Lepisosteus oculatus: one gene and its partners. The protein of the gene in region 2 interacts with the protein of the main gene of each other region in a pairwise test. Links are inferred from orthologs where the notes say so. Each region holds a gene or a part of one and is shown on either strand. Other genes may lie near its edges.

What was found. The genes of interacting proteins can lie anywhere in the genome.
Region 1: the proteins of lin7a (region 2) and pals2b interact in binary tests that used the Homo sapiens proteins (3 or more experiments, as listed by UniProt). The link is inferred for Lepisosteus oculatus from reciprocal best matches to the Homo sapiens genes LIN7A and PALS2.
Region 3: the proteins of lin7a (region 2) and mpp2b interact in binary tests that used the Homo sapiens proteins (3 or more experiments, as listed by UniProt). The two-hybrid records come from large-scale screens. The link is inferred for Lepisosteus oculatus from reciprocal best matches to the Homo sapiens genes LIN7A and MPP2.

The regions. Positions count from the first base shown.
Region 1 is NC_090705.1:1,081,171-1,088,462, reverse strand, and holds the start of pals2b (MAGUK p55 subfamily member 6b), read left to right. Parts: upstream 1-4,261; 5' UTR 4,262-4,757; coding exon 4,758-4,854; intron 4,855-5,040; exon of another isoform or gene 5,041-6,433; coding exon of another isoform or gene 6,434-6,461; intron 6,462-7,292.
Region 2 is NC_090702.1:19,594,505-19,602,364, forward strand, and holds the start of lin7a (protein lin-7 homolog A), read left to right. Parts: upstream 1-4,771; 5' UTR 4,772-4,815; coding exon 4,816-4,891; intron 4,892-7,860. UniProt on the Homo sapiens protein: Plays a role in establishing and maintaining the asymmetric distribution of channels and receptors at the plasma membrane of polarized cells.
Region 3 is NC_090723.1:7,491,875-7,499,508, forward strand, and holds the start of mpp2b (MAGUK p55 subfamily member 2b), read left to right. Parts: upstream 1-4,603; 5' UTR 4,604-4,833; coding exon 4,834-4,924; intron 4,925-7,634. UniProt on the Homo sapiens protein: Postsynaptic MAGUK scaffold protein that links CADM1 cell adhesion molecules to core components of the postsynaptic density. In CA1 pyramidal neurons, required for synaptic KCNN2-containing channel function and long-term potentiation expression.

The DNA.
Region 1 (7,292 bases), on a different chromosome or scaffold from region 2:
TTGCATGATAAAGCACACAGTAGGTGGCCAGCCCTGTGCAGATACTTTATGCAAAAATAAAAAAATCCATGATTATAAAAGTATAGAATTGTCTTTTAAAATCTCGACTTAACCATTAAGGGGTGACCACGTGGAAGTGTAAATATGAGGTTATCAGAATGTTGTAAACTACATCTGCCAAAGAAAACGTGATCACGGTATACGTCACGAGTTTGCCTATGTGCGTTAAATGTTTCCTGTTCTTCATTCTTACCAGTTTTTCTTTCTCTGGAACAAACATTTGACCAGACAATGCAACAAACATTTGACCAGACAATGCAGCTATTCACAGCATGCATCTGATTTTGTAGTCCCCCAGGCAGTAACGTGCTGTAGTTTAAGAACACAGCTGTGTGCTGAAGGCCCCGCCCTGGACAGCACCTTAAAACCCTTTCGGGTGCGCAGAGGGCTTGGTTGCTACGCCAACGGAGGATACTTAGAAAGCTGTTCAAAGCAAATTATGCATCTTCTGTGATGCTGAATACGCTACTTTAAAATGGTTTGTTTTTCTTGTTTTTAAGTAAGAGCTGCAATAATTTCACACCTCAGCAGGAGAAGCTGGCTTTTTTAATAGTCCTGGTGACTCAGCAGTAGTTAAGACTCTCTTTGCTGTAGGTGGGTGCTTTTTTGTTTTTCAGGTTGTGCTTGTGGCATCTGAGAGTGACCTCACCATTAGTCATTTGTTTTTTTTGTTTTGTGCTTCTGTTTGGTTTTATTTTTTTGGCCTGTGACCTTGGATGTGCCAAAGCAGGAGTTTTACAAGCTGTTGACAGGTATTTTAGCTGGCAAATACAGACTGGACCTGTTTTATTATTTTAAAATACACTGTGAAAATGGTCAGAAAGCTCACTGTTGGTGTGTTGGGCATATCGCTCACACACAGTGCCTGTGCAGTATGTTTGGTTACAATGTACTGTACTGCTGCTGAGTTCATTTTGTGTCAGTGTTAGTGCTGCAGCATGTGTATCTCTGCAGTGTGTCCTGTGTGCAGTGTGGCCCTGTGCTCTTTGCAGTGTGCAGTGTGTCCTGTGCTCTGTGCAGCGTGTAGTCCAGAGCCACGCTCTGCTCGAGTTAATAGCAATCCCCTCAAAAAGGTTTCTCCGAGTTCAGAGATGTCGTAAGAAATAACAACCAATGCTGCACAGCTGAATCATCCAAAGCCCTCAGCACCCCAGTGGGAAGGACAAGAAAGGGGATCCTTTCGGAACAGCAGGTCACCTGAGGAGGACTCGCCCCCCTTACGCCCAGGCTGGACACTCAGCCCGCTTCTCTTGTTGTCTTGAACGTTAGGCCGGTGGTCAGCGGGGCGACCCGTGTGTGCGGTTGCGTGGGAGGGAGCTGTTCGCTCTGTCTTTCAAGCATGGATTGCTCCCTGTCCTTAGCTAATACCAGGACAACATCCAGCCCGCAGCAGCAGCCTCTGGGGGTCCTGACCCTTCTTCTGCTTCTTTCAGTTTTAACGCCCATCAGTCAGGCTGTCATAAACATCAAATCCTAGTTGGGAGCTGAGTGGCGATGGGCAAATCCTAAAAAACAGATTTCCTAATCCGGTGTTTCTGTCTGTGGATTAACTGCGATCAGAGGGAGTGCAGCCCAGGGCTGGGGATTAGGCAGGGGCAGAGCGTGCCCATCCCTCAGGGCACAGACGCACAGCGATGCCGTGAGCGCGGTGGTCATGCAGGACTCTGCTCTGCTGAACACAGCCCACAGCTTGTGACGCGTGGCTTGTGATGACAAAGGCTCACGTTTTACTCGATGCCTTTCACGAAACGTCTCTGCTTGCAACGTGCTGCGCACAGCCATGCAAACATTAAACATCATTTTTGATGAAATGAACTTTGTCATTGTGCAGTTACGAGGGTGATTTGTGATTTAACAATCTTCTGCGTCCTGTTGTTGTGACACAGTGTTTCTTAGAAAGTGCTACTAGACAGAAGGAGCCCAGCAGAATGGTCTAAGTGCTCTTGTCTTGATTCCAGTCCCCCTTACAACATGGTGCAACCCGATTTTCATTATCCATTGTCTGGAATTGGTAGTCGCAGAATTCGGGCTTCTGCAGGCTTGCTGCAGTCCCTCCAGTCTGCAAACGTGCTGCAAACTTATCCAATCCCTCTTTTACTGTGCTTTATGCTTTACCTTCCTGTAATGAGTTTAGACCAAGTATTTGCCATAAATAAAACTCACTGACCTTTTATAGTATTGTGAAATATTCATTAAGGTATTGGTTTGTCATAATTGTTTTATGATGAAATAGATTGGGATATGTGTGAGATAGGCGCCTTTTCATAATGGTTCTGAAAAAGAGTTTTTTTAGTTTGCCCGAAGTAAACAGACATGACTTTAATTTTTGCCTTTTCTAGCTCTGCAGGTCTTCTGTACTGAGGATACACAGTGTGATTGAAGGCCATCAAAAAGCACATTGGTGGGGTGAGCCTGTCAGCTCATGCTGGGTATAGGGAAATGACTGTGGCCAGTTCTAATTCCTGTACAGGTAAGCTCTCGATGGGCAGACTTTTAGCGTTCCAAGACGTGAGTGCAACTACCTGAAGGGCTATTGACAATATCCCTTGAAAACAAGCTGAGAGGGTGCAGTCTTCAGAATTTCAGAAGTCTTTTAAAACAAAAGAATATATCTTTCGGATTAAAAACTGGTCAATGGATAGGAACAGTACAGATAAGAAGTGATTGCCAAGACTGGGAGATGTACAGTAATTAGTGGAGTACCACAGGGATCTGAATGAGGTCCAGTGCTCTTCCTAATTAATATAAATGATATAAATGGTTATGTTTATAAATGTAAACTAGTGTAGCTCTCAGATGAGGATTGGCAAACACTGCAGAACATGGAAATTCAGAGATATTTAAATAGTATTTAAGATTGGACAAACCACTGCAGATGACATTTAATATAAAAAATGCAGTGCAGCACAGGGACTAGAATTTAATCTCAGGGATGTTATGATTGTACAGTGCTCTAATAGGACACATATACAATATTACATGCATCGCAGCATGATGTTGCTGCACGGCTGAACCCGATACCCTGGCTTCTTTCAAGAAACAGCTGGATGGGAGCCTAGGATCAGTTACAGGTAGCGATCAGCAGCCAGACCAGCCAGATAGGCTGAATGTCTCCCTCTCGTTTTGTAGCCTTCGTGTGAGATTTGAGAAGGAGGCTGTCGTTTCCTTCACCTGCGTGAACGACTGTGCATTTTAAATGAGCCTGGGAGACGGCTCTCCTCCCTCTGCATTGACTTGGGCTCCCTGCTGACATGCACGGGTTCAGAGCGCAGTGGGGCTTGTGACCTGGGGATCTCCAGCACCCAGTCTCTGGCCGCCTCCCAGCCCTGAAGGTCTCCTTTTCGCCATGCTGGGAGTGACGGTCTGGACACAAGGGGAAGGGGGGGGAGAGCTGCTGATCCGCGGAGCAGTGTAGGACGTGAGGTCAGTGCCGTTTCCGGACCTGCAGCTTCCTCAGCTGGAGCTCCTGTCTGCACAGAATGATTTCGCAGAGCTTCAGGTCTGGAGCAGGAGGCAGCTGCTGGGCATCATGCAAGCCTTGCGGCCTTGGCAAGGTGTCCTGAAAGATGCCTTCGGAAACTAGAAAAAGGAGACCAGTTTGCTCAAAAATAGATTTTGAAGAAATTGTCTTTCTAAGTCTTCCGAGTTAATTTGTTGATTTATACACTGCACATCGTTACTTCGTTAGAACTTCAGATTTTATCACTTGTCGTGAAATAATTTAAGATTGTGGTCAGGGAATCAAGCCACAGGCCGGTCCGAACTGTAGCTGGAGCTCGGTGGTGCCCATCTGTTGTAAATGCAGTTTTATTGGCCTTTTGCTTTTATAATAGACTCTTTGTATGTAAGATCATCATGTATTATTTTAATGATCTGGTGAGCAACATTCTTAGTGTTTTATAGTTCAGACCTGGTAGATTTCACATAACATAGTTCATACAAAACTTAGCAAGGTTAACAATTTCTTACACGGTTCAGTGACAGCTACGGAGAGCGCAGTTAATATTCTAAGATATGATGATGAGATATGATGTCCAACATGAACCTGGATCTCTCAGAGGGGTGTAATGTGAGTGGACATGCTACTTACAGCGTTTACATACAGTACCAGCAATGTTTACCTCGACATTGGTGAACTGTGTAATAAACCAGAACAAAATCTTTAATTGTTTCTAGATTTGGGATTTGGGATGTTGAAATTTGGGCAGGCGATGAGTCTAATGAGAAATTAACTATAAATAATATCCACACATTCTTGTGAATCCTGACACGAGGAAGAGCACAGGAGCAGTTCATCTCCTCGATCAGAACTGTAGCGCTTGTCGCGGGCTCTGAAAGCGGAGTGGTGCTGTATTTCTAAGCAGCTGCAGCAGCACTTACATAAGATTATTGCTTCTGCAGCTGAGGGGGACAGTGGAGAGCCCTTGAAAACAAGGGATTGTGGGATTAGAGGTTCCAGCTGGTATTAGAGGGCAGAGCTCGCCCGAGCCGCACAGCCTTGATTCGGTCGCTGCCCTGAGGACCCGGAGCCCACACAGAGCGGTGGGCACGTCACCTGTGTCATCACTCCCTCCCGGAGCGGGCTGGCATTCCCCTGGGCGATCGCACCGGAGGACTCCCACCAGCAGTTAGTCACATTGATCTGCGGAGACGAAGCTGTCGGAGGGAAGAGTGCAGGATCTGCTCTGTTCCTCGCGATGGTGTTCTCGGCTGCAGAAGGATATACAGACAGTTTAGATTCCTCTCCTGAAAGAGACAGCTCTTCTTCAGGGGGTGAAGCTAATTCTTCTGTAGGTGAGCTGGTTGTTGGTTTTACTCTAAATCGCAGGGGTACTGGTCCTGAAGAAGCAGTTACTACTCGATTAAATAGCAGCTGGGTTCAGTCTGGACTTCTGGAGAAGTTGTTTCCTTACTGTGAGGTACTGTACTGTTATTATGCTAAGTCTCTCGAGTGCTAAATGTCAGTATAACCAGGGGTTTCGGTGGGGGCTGTCATATAAATTGATTGTCAGGAACAGTATTCCAGCCTGTGCCAGTTCAGGTTTTATTTCTGGATTCTCGCGTTTGCAGTGTTAAAAGAGCCGGCAGCCGTCCTGAGAGGGAGTCCCCACGTGCACAGCAGGATGCAGCAGTGGCGGGAGAGATACGAGGCGCGTCGCCTGGCTCTTGAGAGGCAGGATTGATGTTATTCGGGAGCTGCGGAGAAGGAGCCGGTTCCTGCTCTGTACTCCCATCTCATCCCTCCGCACGAGGAAGTGAAGTGTCACTATCGCAAGCGTGCATGTTGATTCACTTCAGCTTGCACCATGAGAGAGGGTCTTAATAAAATCCCTGCGGTACCTGATTACTTCTGTTGTGACACAGTAGTAAGCTCCATAATCTCCACAGTTTCCTCACTGGAGACAGGCTTTGCACTGGCCTGTGAGCATTTTCCTCCAGTCCCAGTCTTATATTTGCAGATTTATCTGTCCTTGTGAACAGCTCAAATTAATGAATGGGTGAATGGGTGTGTTGTGCAGCGTTTTAGAAACCCATGAATATGTAGGAATGTTTTAGTGTTCGTGCTCTTCGATGCAGCGATGCTGCAGTGTCGTGCCTTCACTCTGGTCAGATGAGTGTTCAGTCCGTGTTGCTGTGAAGCATGGAGACGGTGTCAGTGCCGTGGATGGGATCACCTGAGCTGGGTTAGACACACAGGTAGAGCCAGCTCTGCGGCGTGCTGCTCTCCTGTGTCGGGTGCTGTCCAGAGGTCCGGCAGAGCAGACCTCGGATTCTGCCCGGGGCTCTTGTGCTGCTGGGCTCTCTCCTGAGCGCCGCTTGTCCACCAGCGTGGCCCCCTGTCCCCCTGTTGCTCCCTGTCCGTGGCGCCATGCTCGTGAGCGCTCGGGCGAGGGGGCTGCATGCCGCATGTCGGCTCTAGAAACATGCAGACACCTTCGTCTTCAGAGGGGAGGGAATCTCCAGTAACCCTTCGTAAACCTTTCTAAAAGAAAACCACTTCATGCGGCTGTCGTTGGCGTTTGGACTCCCAGCTGTTTGTTGCTGTCGGGCAGTGAGACTGGTAGCGCGCTAAGCCTGCGCTGATGAAGCTCTGAAATGTCTGAAGAAGGTCCTCATTCCTTTGCGTTCCTCTTTTTTTTTACATACAGCGTTTACTTTTGAAAGCATCTGGGACAATGCTGGAGTTCTTGCTGAAATATGCGTCGCTTGTCAAATGTTTCTTGCAGTATAGTCTTGGCTCTGTTACGTATGGGCATAGATTTTATTAATTAGTTTTCTTAAATAATGTGCCTTTTCATTCTCCTATTCCTCAGGGACAGCAATAAACCTTTGTTTAATCCCATCTGAGGGCTTATTGTGCAGTTTCAGATGGATGTTTCAGCGCTGGCAGTGCTGGCTGGGTGAGCTCCTATTCTCTGTTTCCCTGCAGCCTTAAAGGACTGCTCTGACGCGGGGGTCTGTGAATGAGAGCACGAAGGGGCTGGGGGCTTTAAAACACTTCGGCCCTCAGCGGCGTGGCAGCCAGAGGGGCCTCGGGGCCCCCCGCCCCCCCGCCGAGCCGCTGCTTTGTGTTTTTGCGCGGTGGGCACGTTGGCGGCCCCGGCTCGGAGGCTGACCGCTCTGCTGCGCTCGCCGACTCCGCTGTTGAGACGACACCGCAGCCCTCTGGCTTGAGCCCAGCGAGGTCCCGAGGCCCGTCAGTACCGGGATGGGAGACCTTAAGGAAAACCCGGTGTTGGCGGAGCACAGTTTCCAGACCGGTGTCCCATGGTATGGTCACCAGAGACACTGTGCTGTAGTAGGGGTTAAACCAAGATCTTGACAAGTCGCTCGTTAAAGATGTTCGTTAGAGCAGGGGTGTGCGTCCCCAGTTTCCTGGCTTAATTACTCTGGGCTGTGTGGTCTGGCCCTCCTAACTGAAGGATTGAAGTGAAACACTTTCTCCCATGTGTGCCTGGGGCCGCAGCTCGGTAGTGGGTGAGTGGGTCCCCTCCTGTGTGCGAGTAAAGTACAGGAGCCCGGGAAACGCGAGCGCTTGGTGCACACCTGACGGAACTCATACAGGCTGTACATCCCCGTCAGAGGCATTCAAAACTTTCCTTTGCAATTTACAGGTCATCTGAATGTAAAAGTCAAAAAGACGTGCCTTCCTGTTGTAGTGAAAGTAATTTGCGCTCTGTCCAGGTTCCCCTCGGAGGCGTTCGGGTTGGTCTGGGCTGCTCTGCAAAGCG
Region 2 (7,860 bases):
CCCTGGTTACACTGAATACATGAAGTCCCAGAGGAAAGCCAAGGATTAGCCCAGATGTCATCTCACCCCTGGTGGTGCTCGGCCACTTGTGCTTTACCATAGTGGATAATGACAAAGCCCAGGTGGACTGGGCGATGACCGAGTCATTTTGCCCATGACCAATACTTTAATTCCTAATATTTGCTCATTTGTTACAACATATCTACAATATTGCAGTTGGCAATATTGCAAATTACTCTTACTGTCACAAGTGTGGTGTAATTTAAAAACATTTTGACTGAGAAACCAATTAATTATTATACTATGAGCATACTAGTATAATATCAAATGCAAATAGCACAAAATGTTGCTCTGATGTTTTATAAATGCCAGGACATCATCCCATATGGCCACAAATACCTAATCTCCTCATGTCCTCTTTATTGCAGACTCTAAGCTGTTTCTCTAACTCATTACAGACAACCATTTGCTGTTAGTCATTCAGCTAGAATAACCCATCTCTTAATTCTTCAATGTCGACAATGTTGTATCAGCTGTTAACTGGATGCACATCCATGGAAAAAAAACAGTGTTGGCTTCTGCAAAAGTGAAGGATGGCAATAATGAATACTTTAATTAACAATATAATACAAATCTGATGTTAATGGATTTGGTTTTCTAGTTCTTGCAAGAACAGCTAATGCCCTGTTTTGGAGGCACATGAATTAATATGCAGTATGCAATTTCTTGGATAGATATGGGTTTGTGATGTTTCCATCATTATGTTTTTTATCAATTATTTTATTTGTTAAATAAATGAACTAAAAGTTTCAGAGTTTGTTTATTACTTGTGTAAGGATTTTCTGTTTTACATCTTAGTTAGCAGAACAAGCATCGTTTAAAATATAATGAATGTAAACAAGAATAAGTGGAGTACCATAAAAATGACTATTTACAGTGTTCTGATGAATTTCAGCAAGATGGAAAGTTTACACTTATAAGTGTTCGATTGAGTCTTAGAATGTGCGTGGGATTTAAAAATGTTTAACATTTCTCAGTAAGTATTTTACCATTTCTGTAAAATTGCTGGAATCAATTAGAATTTCCCTTTTCCAGATCTACTATGCTTGCTTTGTTTTATATCACAAACTTGAGAGTGAGAGGCCAGAAATTTATGGCAATGAGAGAGACTTCATTTTCTTTAAACTGTCCTGACATACAGTATAATGATTTTCTACAAACGTTCCAGATTATTTTCTTACCATAAAAAAAATCAATACCAATTATAGAGATTGATTGTAGTACTAACATCAAAGCTAACACGATGTATTACGCAGTCTGAAAACAGAGAAGTAGCTCCATTGCATTTTGAAGTAATATGTGGTACTTTTACTTTTTATTTGATATGATTTTGTAACAGAAGTAGATTGCAAAGGCTGATCAAAGGCTGGGGTTTAAATCAAAATAGTGATGTCTATATATATATAGTAATACTGTATATATTTAAGTTCCCACTGCATACTGACACTCCTGATCAAAAGGACTCAGAGAATAGAAAATAAAGTTAAAGGATTTAGCAATATAATGTCTTACTATGGGAAAAATGCCTTCAAAATAGTGTCAGCTGCTGTAGACCAGAAACGTACACATTCTCTTATCATTACGACTACCATATCCAAAGGTATTGCATTTTTAAGTATGTTTTTTTATGTATTGTAAATGTACAATATGAACCACACAGATCTAGGAAAAGAAAGAGCACAAGGCTATTGTGTAAAACCACTTAAACACCAGATGAAGAAAGATGAGTCCTGAATGTATACAAAACACTTTTTTTCCTATTATCAAAATAAGCTTCTCATATCAGATGAATCCAATATATCAAGTAGTGAGTGTATTTCAGTCAAGCACAGCACAAATGTCTCAATATGTATGCATGTATTTTTATAATATACTGCATGTAATAGGGTGTTTCTATAAATAAGTTAGCATTTATTCATACATACTGAATAAATGCTAACTTATTTACAGAAACACCCTATTACATGCAGTATATTGTAGAAATACATGCATACACTTACTGTATAAGCAATAATAAAGCCATAATACACATTAGTTTTCCACAGTCAAATGTTGCGCTGTGACACCAAAGCATTGTACCCAGTGTAATGAAAATCCCAAATATACATCTGAGGTTTCAGGAAATATATACTGCATACTGCTTTTTGCTGTCAGTTTTAAACTGCATGTTGTACACGTGGTTCTATAAGGGACTAAAGAGAAAAAAACAACACTGGGTGGCCAGATCAGGGCAGTGAGATGGTTGATTCAATGTCCAGTGCACCCATGCTTCATGTGCTATAACAGTGTGCTGAAGGAACAGGCAATGGGTCCAATGCAGCAGAAAGATCCCCATGCAGGATGAACATGATCATTGGGGAGATGCGCAAGTATGCAGCAGATCAGTACTTTGCAGCACCACAGCTGCCAATGGATTACATTGTGCATGGTATCATGGGAAATGTTGAATTCCTTAGCTCTTGATAGCAATTTTCATTTACCTCTTGTTTCCAATTAATATCTTCAATGGAGCAAATACATGTCAATTGCATAGTTGGACACCATGTTGCTGCTCATCAAAAATGACTGTCCTGATGTAATTAGTTTTCAACTGCGAGAGGCCTTGTTATCTCATGTAAGGAAATGCTCCTACATGTATATGCGTTTTCACTTCTTTAGGTAACCCAAAAGATAAGAAAATGAGCAATACATATAGAAAATATGAGTAACAAAGAAAAAAAGTAAAGCTGGTTATCAAATAACAATGAGATATTCTGTAAACTTGCTTTACAATCAGAAGTGAATAATGCCCTGGCAAACTAAAATGTTAATGGTGAAAAGAGAGGAATATTTTTATCAACATTGTTTTAATATAAGAACCCAGTGCTCCACAAATGTTCATAATGGCCTGTGATCTGTTATCTTTATAAAACATTACATTGCCTGTGACCTGAAATTAATCTACCTGTCATCAGTAGTGCTCTTTCTTGAGCCTAGTGCAGCACCAGCACAGAGATCCCACTGTGCTTCCCTGTTAGCCTGTAAATCAAGTCATAAAGGCAGAACTTTAATCTATACCTTGAAAGCAGAGCCCCTGTGTTTCTGTGTAACAAACCAGCTCTGTTATTTTTACAAAAAACATACATCAAATCCTAAATTTGTTGTGGCAAGTTTTTAAGAATCCTTGTGCAGGTCTCCAAGAGAGGACGAAGGTTTACGAGTCTGAGAGGGGTGAGGCAGCAGAGAAGCCAGTAGTTCCAAGTGAGGCCAAATCTGGATAGAGATAGGGAGAGTATCAAGCCAAACAAATCCGAGAGGGGCGAGACGAAAGATTTGTCAAGAGGTCCAAGGCTAGAAGAGCCTTCGTAATGGAGGTCCGGGAGAGAGAGATTGGATATCAAGGGTTGAGGATGATCCAAGCTCCCATTCCTAATTAGATTCCTAATACCAAGCGATGATTCGGAGTGAATGGAGGGTTTAAATAGTGAAGGAAGGGGTGCGGAATGGAAATTAAATAATGAGGGTTAATTGACGCCAGCTGCACCCCTAACACTTTTGTTATCATGAGTTACAATCTAGTATTTGGAGCTTCTATTACAACACATTCATCTTTAATGAGAAAGACGTTTATTCTTGCTAAAGGCAAGAATAATGCCTGTAGAAACTCAGATCCCATCCTTGAAGCTAAGGGAGCAAAGGAGGAACTGTACCCTGGACAGGATGCCGGCCACATTGCATACACACACCATGTAGACCATGCACCATAGCCTGCATGTCTTTGGAAGATGGGAGAAAGCAAGAGCACCCAGAGAAAACCCACACCATGCAAAGTCTATGAAGAAGGTACCCCAGACTAAACATGAGCCATGGGCTAGAGAACTATGAGCCAGTACAGTAGTACTAACCTCCACTTCACTCTGGTACTCAGAGGGTTGTTTCTTTAATTAGATACCGTAACAAGAAAAACACATTATTCAATATACAGTTTAAAACCCAGGAAAGACAAAATAAGCAGCACGTTCAATGTTTAACAATTGTTTTCAAAAATATTTACAAGAATCTAAAAGTAATAAAAACGTACGTTAAAGTCTTGACTTTAATGTAAAGATCTTTTTGTTTATGTCACATCGTATTCCATTTTACTTGTCCTGTCCTGTAGTTACTTGTAATATATATTTATCTTACTTATCTACATGCATATTTAATTATGCATACATACAGTCCAGTTTCTGAATGTTAGTAACACTGGATGTAACAAACTGTAATTTCTATAATATAAAAATAACAGTTAATAATATACTGCCATGTATTCAACCAGCATTTTCCGCTAATGCTGTACTGCCATAATTTAGAAGGCTATAATTGAACGTTAATAAAGAATTATTTATACATCTACAACGTTCGTAAATTAAATCACGTCAAAAATGCATTTGAACTTACATTTACATACTAATCATTATTTAAAACGTGTTTGTTGTAGCAAATTGTCGGAGAGCCTTTCATGAATACAGGTCACTGTAAAAGCATTGTGAATTTTTAGTAAATGATCATGTTTACTATTTATTTAATTTGGCTGCTTTCTTCAGTGTTGCAAAAAGTTACATATCCTTCCTAACACCATACACAAACGAGTCGGCAGAAAAAAACAGATGCTACGACTAATGCTTCGGAACGACCTAGGACTGAAAAGGTAATCCTGTAAACCCTGAGTCTTCCAGCCACTCCCATTGACTGGCTCGCTTCTCTCACTCGCTCGCTTTCGTGGAGTTGCTTCTGATGCTGCAGCTAGTCACTTTATCTCCAACAGCAGCAGACATGGCGACAGTGGTCCAACCGCTCACTTTGGACAGAGGTAAGCTTGGGACCAATTTATGCATATTGTTGCTGCTTCTGGATATTTATCTGAGACAAACTTCATGGAAAGGCAAGGGAAACAAATGATTTATCATATACCCAAATACCGTATATCGTTCGCTTTACCCCCCTCTACTTATGTTTTCACGAAGATTCTCAGTAAAATGTATCAAGTGGAAATGATGCGCTCTGTACGATTTAAATGCAACTGCATTTTAACGATGAGTAAAGAAAACTGAAGGCAGTTGGATCCCTTTCTCTGTACTCTCTAAAATGTACCAAATATTATATTATCCGAAGAAATAAAACATCAACTAATACTGCATTTTAATACGAGACATTTTTTTTGGTTGATAAATTATAGCAAATGCATTGATCGTAACGTAGCAGTCAAAGTCGCCATTTGAGACAAACTGCTGAAATAGTCGCGCTCGTTAATATAAAATGGGATAACTTTTATGTGGTTGTAGAATTGGTCGAAACACACGACAACTGTTGGATGAATTTCCTGAATTTACTCATGACATAAGGAAGCTCTTAGTCGCACGGCAGGCTCTTCACTTATCAAGATAAAACATGTCACTTGCCTACAAAGCACATGTGAAAGACTAGTATAGAATTCGACTGTGGGCATACTGTACATAAATACTATAATTAGAATCACGAAGATCTGCTTGTCCAGTCTTACACGGACAGCTCATTTAGATAACACCGCCAGCGTTTTTGTCATTTGACATTCTCTGTAGGAGCTATTGGCTGTCATACACGATTGCATTAAGCGCAACGTTATACAGTAGGTTAAACGATGGAGCCAGACGTATGACGGCATACAAATTATGAAGAAATGTAAATGCTTACGATATTCTCTCAATTTTCTAGGTAGTCATTAAAATGAATTATAATTTAGCTAATTTTGTTATAGTTCTTGCTGTTTAATGATACTGTATTTACGCATTATTTACCACAGCTTAGCTCTGATTTTTTTTAGTACTGTAGCTTGCTATAGTTACAGTTGCTGTTTACTGATATTAACTCATGTTTTATATTTCTGTACAAAATCACTGTCAAATAAAAATTCAATTCGCACAACTACACAGAAGCATGCCACATTGACACCAATTTGTAAAGAAGCTAACTGATGAGATAAAGTAAAGGAAAGTCTGTCAGTCATCATGTAGCTGAGTATTATAAAGAGCAAAAAGAGATACTGTACTTCAGTATTCCAGTCATGTTAAAGGAACCAGTGACTATGTACTGTATACTGTAATGATCATTGTCCTCTTGAGACAGGACATACAGCAACACAGCATCCTGGGTTCAAATGAACAAAATTACCATACAGGAAGGATGGGAACCCTGTGAGATTGTTTTGGATGCTCTTGTGTTCTCAAAACGTATTACTCCTACTTTGTTTCTGAGCAACAACGGTCCTGCATGTCATGTGTTTGTTAAACTGTGTATACTGAGGGATTTGGGGGTGGTCCCTCATCACTGATCTGAGTTATGAGCCCTTTAATCACCTCTTGTATTGGTCAATATAATAGAAAACCATTTTTGAACATAAATTCTGTCTCTTCTTCAAAGCTCTCAAATACACTTGTTAGCAGAAATACAACTGTTAATGATATACATTTTGAAAACATTGCTCTCATACTTAATAAAACAGGACTGCATGTCTAATAATAAACAGATCTGTGTCTCATTGAGTTATATAATATATGTTTTTGACCAGGTTTTATAAACATGCTGTATGACTGACATTTAATATGAGTGTCCATCTGTTACTATTGTAGCAAAATAAGCAGTAAAAAAACCCAGTTTCAGGAAGTAGTGTGTTTTTATTCATAAGTCAAACTCAGTAGTAATCTGGTCATTACACAGAGATATTAGGTTAGGTTACATGAGACAAATTAGAGAGTTTAATCAGAATATCACCTTCAGTATATAGTTTTCCAGCTATTGGTCTTGCTTAACTAACTTGTTAAGAGTTACATTAAGAAGCAACAACAGCACTAGGCCCACAGAGGGCATATGGTATGGTTAATTTAGGATTTGATAAAGTAACTCAAGAAAGATTAATTGTGTGAAATGTGTGTGCTTAATAGAAAACAGAGAGTAAAGATGAATGTAAAGTGGTGAATGCTGAAGCTGGGGTGACTTGGGATGATGAAATTCTGAATACTGTATTACTGTACATGCAGGAATAAAGACAGAAACTATACAGTATATACAACATAGAAAATACAGTAGAGCCTCGCCATTTGAATCCAACTTTCGTGATTTTGTAAATATGCTGATTTAAGATCTGATCTGGCCGTCTGGCCAGCAGAGTCTTGGATGAAAGAAGAGTGGAGCAGGATGAAACCAAGCCAAAGATCGTTAACTGCAAATTTCAAAAGAGAATAGGATAGCAAGATGAATCTATTGAGTGAGCCTCTCCCAGCCTCTGCTCAAGTACCCACTACCCAGCATCTGTGCCTCAGTGCCGTCTTGTTTTTTCTTATTGTAACGATCACTTCCGGTTCCGTGTCGGCAGCATGGGCAAAGACAGGCTGGAAGATAACTTTCCAGGCTCACTGACAGTTTTACTGCCCTTTTTATTGCAGTGGGGCAATGCAGTGAAGGCTTCCTCTGGCCACAGAGGGATTCATATTGTTTGTCTTAGCTGATATAAGTTTGTGATTACAGCTGTTTGTTTAAGTTGATTAATGTTATTGTGATTAACTTAAAGCAAATGCATGAATACTTTAATTATCATAAAAAGGAGGGTTACCTGTGTACATATGTACATTATACAATGGTATAATTGGTGTGTGGTGGAATGGGTTGTATGTGGATTTGGCTACTGTGATGGATCTGTTCACCACACTCTTGTGAATGCTGAGATCTTAGTGTAATAAGCTTGTTTCTAGATTATGTTTCTTTTACAAAATTAATAAAAAGCAAATACAATGTTAGGATATCGTA
Region 3 (7,634 bases), on a different chromosome or scaffold from region 2:
GCTTCCAATTGGTATCATTTTATGTTTTACAAACAGTATTTAGCCTCTTTAGGCCTGTTTAACAAGATACGTAGCCAAGCCTTCCCCCTTGGAACCAGAAACATAATCTAGCAGCTGTATTCACAACGTCTATGAATAAGCATTTATGTAACTCATAGTTTAAGATGTCAAACATTCATATGCCTACTTGCATTCTTTGGACGTAATTAGTTGTTAGATTAAGCGATACAAATAGTCGATAGATTAATCGTTTACAAAATAATCGTTAGTGGCAGCCCTAGGCCCTAGACACTGTGCCTACAGTGCCTAATGGGGAATCCAGCACTGGTGGCTGGGGATTTGTCAGCAGCTGAATTGCATATTATGGTGTCCAGCAGACTGTAGGAGGAGCAGTGGTCAACTTGTAACTAGAAGGCTGTACACTCCTCTCGGACTGATGGAGTAACATACTCAGCTGTATAAATGGGTGCATTTGTAAAGCAGTCCATCCATTTTGTGGCGACTTCATCCAGTAGCGGGTTGTGGGGGATCTGGAGCCTAGCTCGGCAAACGACAGGCGCAAGGCAGGATACACTCTGCACTTGACACAGGTTACACCAGGGCCAGTTTTCCCCCAAACTGATTAACCTACCAGTGTGTCTTTGGACTGTGGGTGGAAACTGCAGCACCTGGAGAACAGAGAAACTCCACACAGACAGCACGCCAGGCCTGGAATTGAGCCCAGGGCCCCAGCACTGCAAGACAGCAATGCTAACCACTGTAGCCTTGCTGCACTCACAGCATCCACTCGATGAATTGTAAGTCACTAAAAAATAAATGCATCAGCCAAATAAAGATACTTAATAGAAGGCCTATCTGATTACCCTAAGGTTACCAGGCCCGGGGGCCAATTAATCAACGCCTGTATCAGGACACAGTGCGTCTCCAACCCACTCTGAAGCAACAGGCAACCTTGCAATTGCAGATACAGACGCAGCAGCCCAGAGCTAAATAAATCAACAGAGCGGTTTTGGACTTACAAAGCACGGCGCCGAGTCGAAATCACTGGGGGACTTTTGACATTATTTAAGAAAGAATTGCTATCCACTCCCCATCTATTTGAAAGTTTTCTGCTCTGAAATGGCCTGGGAAGAATGCCAGGCATAGGAAATTGAAAGTCGACACAGAGGGAGAAGTAATGGGCTACAAATGCGAGGGCTCGCTGTGTGTTTACAGATAATTTGTGCTTGGTTTTTCTAAGACGATCTGTAATATTTGGCTGTAGATGTTTTTATTTTAGTATGCTGTCTTGCTGTTAAGATGTGCCAGGCTCTGCAGTGTTTGTTTTAGCTGGGCAAGACCTTGCTGGTCAAGATGGATCTAAATAAAGCTGTTGGGAACTACAGAGTGAACAAAGGCTCTTAGCTGCAGCTGATATATGCCTGTTCGTTAAATTATTTTGTTGATTTGTCTGCCCAATGCGAAACTGCCGATTGCTTCTTTGTGTCTGGGCTCACAGTGACGACCCCTGTACCTGCACGGGGAGGATGAGGAAATGTGCCACAAGGCTCACTGCGATGTACAGGAGGGTCAATGCTGATTGGAGGAGAGGTGTGTCCTGCGATGATGTCATCGCATGCCTCGAGATTCCCAGGAAGTTGCAGGGTGTTGCCGTTTTGTTGGCAGTTAAGCCGACTTCTTTGCATCACTGAGCCATTTGGCTGCCACTGTTGGGGCAGTCCCAGTTTTTGGCCGGCAGTGTCATCTCTCTGGCTCAATCTCTTGACATCTGGATAACAGAACTCAGCTTAGTCTGGGTTGAACACCTTTTGCTGGCTGAGCCTTTTAGGATCCCCGATACCCCCCTTTTAAATTGTGTGACCTTAGCCCTGAGGAGGAGCATGATGAAGATTGACATTGTGTCAGCTCGTTGCTGTAAGACAGGAACTGATGAGAGCAAGGTGACAGTGTTCATAATTTTTAATGTGTGCAAGAATGGGATGAGATGAAGACCTTTTCCTCCCGATATCCTTGCTTGAAGACGAACAAGACAGATGCTGAAGAAATAAATAGTTTTGTCTCACTCCATTTCTTCAGAAATGAACAATATGTGATTGTTTTGGAAAAAAAAGCTCCAAATGCCACGGCTGATTGGATTACTCATGAGATGGCTTATTACTGTTCAGTTGACCTTTATCGTGCGTTTCATCCTGGTACAAATTTCTGTAGTCTCCTCATCACTTAGTGGGAGCTGAAATGAAAGTACGTCTTTGCATGATTGCATAAGCAACATTACAAATGAGAGGGTGGCATTCAGCCAGGCTTGATCTTATGGTTACATGGTGCTTATTGATCAGAAAACTAATCAGGCCTCCTCAGGGGTTGTGGGGAATTGGTATTCATGGCGTTGGGTAGTGTCATTGAAGAATATCCTATGCAGCAGGATAGGATACTTCAGTTACTCAAGCTGCTGTCAGCCTGCAAATACTGAATGTACTTTGTGCGTATATCCAAACAGCATTTTCACACTTCTGAAAATCAATTCTGTACAGAAGGTTGCGCAACACAGAAAATTGGAAATGTGTGTGATGTCCTGGAAACACTTGCACCTTCTAAGAGTCATGGAAACTAGGAAGAACTGTTAGTTCCCAGGTGTTTCATATAGCTACTTTTGCAGTGCAAACATTAAGTACGTGCATATGCTAATACAGTACCTAGATGTGCAGCTAGAAAAGCAAGAAATCCAATTGGTATTAACCAGACTGCAGCCAGCCATTAGGAAATTGCTGTAGTGGGCTATACATGTTGTGGTACAAATTGCAAACCCAAGGTTGCTGGTAAAGTTAACTGGAGGTCCTGAGAGCAGTCCTGACTGGTGGTTAAAGATATTGGGGTGCTTTTTGAAAGAGCAAGGGCACAACTGACTGTGCTCCATTTTCACACCTGGAAAAAGGCAGTAAATCCTCAAATCCTCTCCTCTCCCCGTGATTTGCTTGAGTGGAGCATAGCTTGTGTGCAGAGGGAGTTGTGCTTCAGCTGTGTTTATCCTCTCATCTGTAAAAGCCTGAAATCCTGCGGGTGAAAGAGGCTGTCTATGTGCACAGTGCTGATACTATTCTTTATACGACGGATCAACCCACATTCTCACTGGACAGGTCAGACAGCTGAAAATGCTATGGTTTTATACAGTCCTTTACTGTGAACTATATATATATTCTAGGTGACAAATAATGATAGCTCTGTGCTTTTAAAAACATCTTCCTTCCAGCAACTGTTATTCCACTGCCAGAGGAAAAATGCTTCTTGTTGTAGTCCCTGTCTAATCTCATTTAGTGTAATCCCTCTGCTGAGTTTTAGTGAGGAAATGGAAGCTGCTAAAATCATAAATATAGGAATATATTTTTATTACCTTTTGGATAATCTGAGCCTTAAAGAATAATTAGGATAAAACGAACATACAGCAATTTAGTTTCATGAAAATATGATGACCCAAAAGCTACAAATCAAAGCATCTCTTAGATTTGAAAGAATGCAATGTTAGGCACCAGCAATATTCTCTTCAGGGTAGGATATGCAATATTGTAATGTGTGACACGTTCAGCTGAAAACCCCCCGATAGTGATCTGTTCCCTCGCTTGCCTGTCGGGCACCTCCCTGTCCTGAAATACTGTTAAGTCCGTTTACATGCATATTTTACAGCACTATCACGAGCGATGTAGAGATTCACTACACGAGCGAAGAATAACAGGGCTGTCAGGTCCCTGTTCTGTGCTCTGAATGCCAGATGGATGAGGGGAGCAAACAGGAGGTCAGAGATGTTCAGGTGGGGTTGAATTTAGCCAAACAAAGAGTTTAGGCCTCTTTATAACTCAGACAGGACCATTCCTCCTAGACTGGGACTCCCAAACCAGGGTCTGTCCCTCCAGTGCCTTCTGGGTTTCAGTCCAGCATGCTCAGAGCTGAGCTTAGTAATCAGAGAGCAAACCCAACCAAGTATTAGTTGGATTAAATCATCAAGCGTGTAATACAGAGGTCATTTGGAACAAAAATCAGAAGATGGACATGTATACTTCTCTGAATTAAAGGGCTCCTCATTCAAACCTAATTAGATCCGGAGGACCTGAATTTCTGTAGAGGTGCAAAAGTAGTCATTACTATGTCAGTGCAAGCTTTCGTTCCCCTTTTTCTTTGCCCTGTGGGTGCTGTGCAGAGCAGCGCTTAATGAGATCTCGGCTGAGACACTTGTTACGTAGAAAAAGGATTTTATTGATTAAAGGCAGAAGCGTGTTTGTCAAGGTGCAAGAAGCAGCAGAGCCCTTTCCAAAGCAAAAGAAGCACGTAGCCCCCAGTTACATTTTAGGAGATGAAAACAACAAAGCATCCAGCCTCTTAATTGTTTTTCTGCCAGATCTGATCGGATATTGCGGTGTTGAGTGCCAAGGAACTGGGTGTATAGCTGCCACTTGTTATCAGTGTGGAGAAACAGGGGGGTGGGGCTGGAAACGGTGTGACGAGGTGATTGGACAGTGTGGGCAAATGAGGTCACTGTGGGTGGGGAGTAGAGGGAGGGGCCTTGTTTACTACACTTACTATTATTATACATGCCTGCCAAGACGCAGCCAGTGCTTAGTTAACTCCTCCTCAACCTCCCCACCCCTCCCTTTCCCTAAGACATTGTGGAAGATGTCAGCGTGAGCACTCAGCCCCTTCCCTGCAGACAGCTGCTAGAGAGAGGGTGCTCAGGCTCGTAAGGAAAACTCAGCCGAGCAGACAGGCTTGAGCTAAACCCAAGCTCCAGCAAGAGATCGCTCGTTCTCTCTGCGTTTCCGCCCCCCCCCTCCGTCAAGCCGTGACATGGCCAGCAGCCGCTTGAGGAGATTATCCCTGGGGGAGATGGGCTCTTTAAACTCCTCGGAGGGCTCGGAGCTGAAGCTGAGCAGAGAAGGTAAAGTGTGGTGGGTGGGAGGAGGAGGAGGAGGGGGAGGAAGAGGAGAGCGCTTTTTTTTCCACTGGGTTGGAGGATTGGAAAAAGCACCATGTTCCTGGAGTGCCAGTGTCTCGGGGCTGACTGGGGCTCAGAGCGAGAGATCAGAGCAGAAATTGCAGGATTAGCTCGAGCTCAGTTAGGGAAGTAGTTTCTTCAAGTGTCAGGTCAGCGGGTTGAAAGTGTAGCGACCCAGGTGAGCTCACACAGGATGAGTGGATTGAGGCAAGGAGATTCTCGGTTTAGACAGAATACCCCCGGCCTCTGTCAGCTTGTTTTGTGTCTGAAATGGATTTCTGATGCATTAAGGCTCGTCAATTTCAAGATCGTATTTTTGTATTGATTTGTATTTCCCGTGTGTGATTTGATGTGGGATGTGTGTGGCATGCCTGTTGTTTCAGGAGTGCTTGTGAGCTCTGATGTTTGTTTCGGATTGTGTGCTATGTTTAGCCTGGTGTCACACCACAGGGTCTCAGCTGCCGTGCAAGATCGGGAGGATGTTTTCCTGGTAGGGAGGAGGAGTGGTTGTATGAGTGTGATCTGGCTCTAAACAGTCTTGATATTGTGAATGAAATCGCTCTGGTCCAGAGACTCTGTAAAAATGCACTTGCTACATCCAGCAAGCTGCTGGCAAGTACATCAGGTTGTGATCTCTGTCTGCTGTGTGGAGGAGACATGGCGAAGTGTCTCAGTGAAGCCGGGACCCTCTGTATTGCTTTAAAATACGGCGGTGATGGTGATTGTAAAATTCTTGGTGCATCTGGCACCTCCTGAAGCCAGATCTTCACTGCTTCTCAACCTTTTCTCGTTTTTTTTTTGGAATGTTGTATTTGTAATATACGATTATAGAGCTAGGCAGTTTTATGTTTGTTCCTGGCTGAACATCAGACTCTCAGAGCCTGATGAGCTCTTGTTTAGTTGTAGCAAACGTGTCTCTCACAGTAGGTTCAGTATCCTTCCCAGGACTGTTTTGCAGGCCCCTTCTGCACTGGAGCCTGGAGCCCGGAGCCCTGGCGGAGAGCTCAGAGGCTGTGTCTTTTCTCCTGAGCTCTGTACCGTCTCTGATGTGGTTTAAACAGCGGTGTCTTCTGAACTTTTCACACTCTCACCGGAACCTTCCTTTGCTTCTGGCACTTTTCCATAATCCGTGGGAGGTTATAATCATTGACTGTATTGCACCTGTAGTATGTGCACTTCAGTACTGTTTAACCCTGGCAGCTTAATAGTGCAGACATCTTTCCTGAAAGCTCAGCGGTCTTTGGTTTGCAAGTGAAGTCAGAATGCCAAGCACTGAAAGATTGCTGGAAACTTAAGAAGCCCCATGTGGTGCCTGCTTGGAGATAGGCAACATTCCACTCTCCAAGTAACTAAGGGGCGTCCTGGAGCCTGTACCCCTATAATTACAAGATAGCTCTCTCCACAAGACCGTAATTCAGACCAGTCTGTGGATCATGCAGAGGAGAACACTGCTAATGCGTTAGGTTATGATGTATAAATAAATGGTTCCTAGAGATTCTATTAATTTACTTAATATCAAGTTCTATAGAGGGCTTATAAAGCTGCTATAGATACACAGTGGTGTTCATCCTGATTTTAAAACAAATACTAACCTTGATCTTACCTAAAGACTACTAAAATATCTGGATGTTTTAATAATCTACACAACTTCAATTCCTAGTAAACTGGAGTTAAATAGAAGGCCTAGTAAACCACAATTATAGAACTAATAATCGGTCTTTTTAACTCTTCTAGACAGCCTCTGATGTGTTTTATGAGTAACATGTTTTTACTAAAATGAAAGTTTTTAGTAATCCACTGTTAAAGACCCTATGAAGAGTCCTGCATATTTCATAAGGAAATAATTAGGATCATTGATTGACTGCACGGGTTGGAACAATAAGCAGAAGACGCAAGACCCTCCAGAAATTGAGGTTGAAAGAAAGGCTGACCAGTATACCTTGTGCTGCCTTTGAGCTATACTGCTGTTAATAAGCAGCTACAGTACCTGCCATAATTTTAAATGTCCAATTCCAGCCCGTTGTGGTTTTGCAAGACACAGATACCCCAAAGGTGTCTTAAAAATATTAGAAAAGCATCTTAGAGTAAAGGAGTTTATTGTCATATGTACATGTATATTGGGATTCTTACTGTTCTCTCAGAACATACACAGTACAGCAGACAACACCACACAGTGTAGCCACTACATTACAAAATGGTTCATAATAAATAGTAACAACCAGAACAATAAATGCGTTGTAAGAACAATCAATGTAGTGAAAAGTACATAGAGCAGTGGATTGAGTTCTGAGGAGCTGCACAGTTAGCTGTTAAGCATGTGTACTGACAGTAGGGTTTTGACATCTAGCAGCAAAGACGGACATAAAAAACACCAGTTCCACTTCTGCAAACTGCAGAGATGTGTGGCTGTGCAAGCATGGGATGTCCAGTCTTTCAGAAGGCTGTGGACCGCAGAGACACACGCTGTGCGAAACGAAAGCAGATGGCAGAGCCTTGGGTATCCACAGGCCCACTGCAGATGCTCACTGCCACTGGACTGTAAGCCTTTGCCAAAGAGGTTTGCTGCTTGCAAAACCTCATGCCTCGTCAATAATTCGCTTCCCAAATGAGGGACTGCCCTTCTATACTGCTCGGACTGAGTCACGAGCAGCCC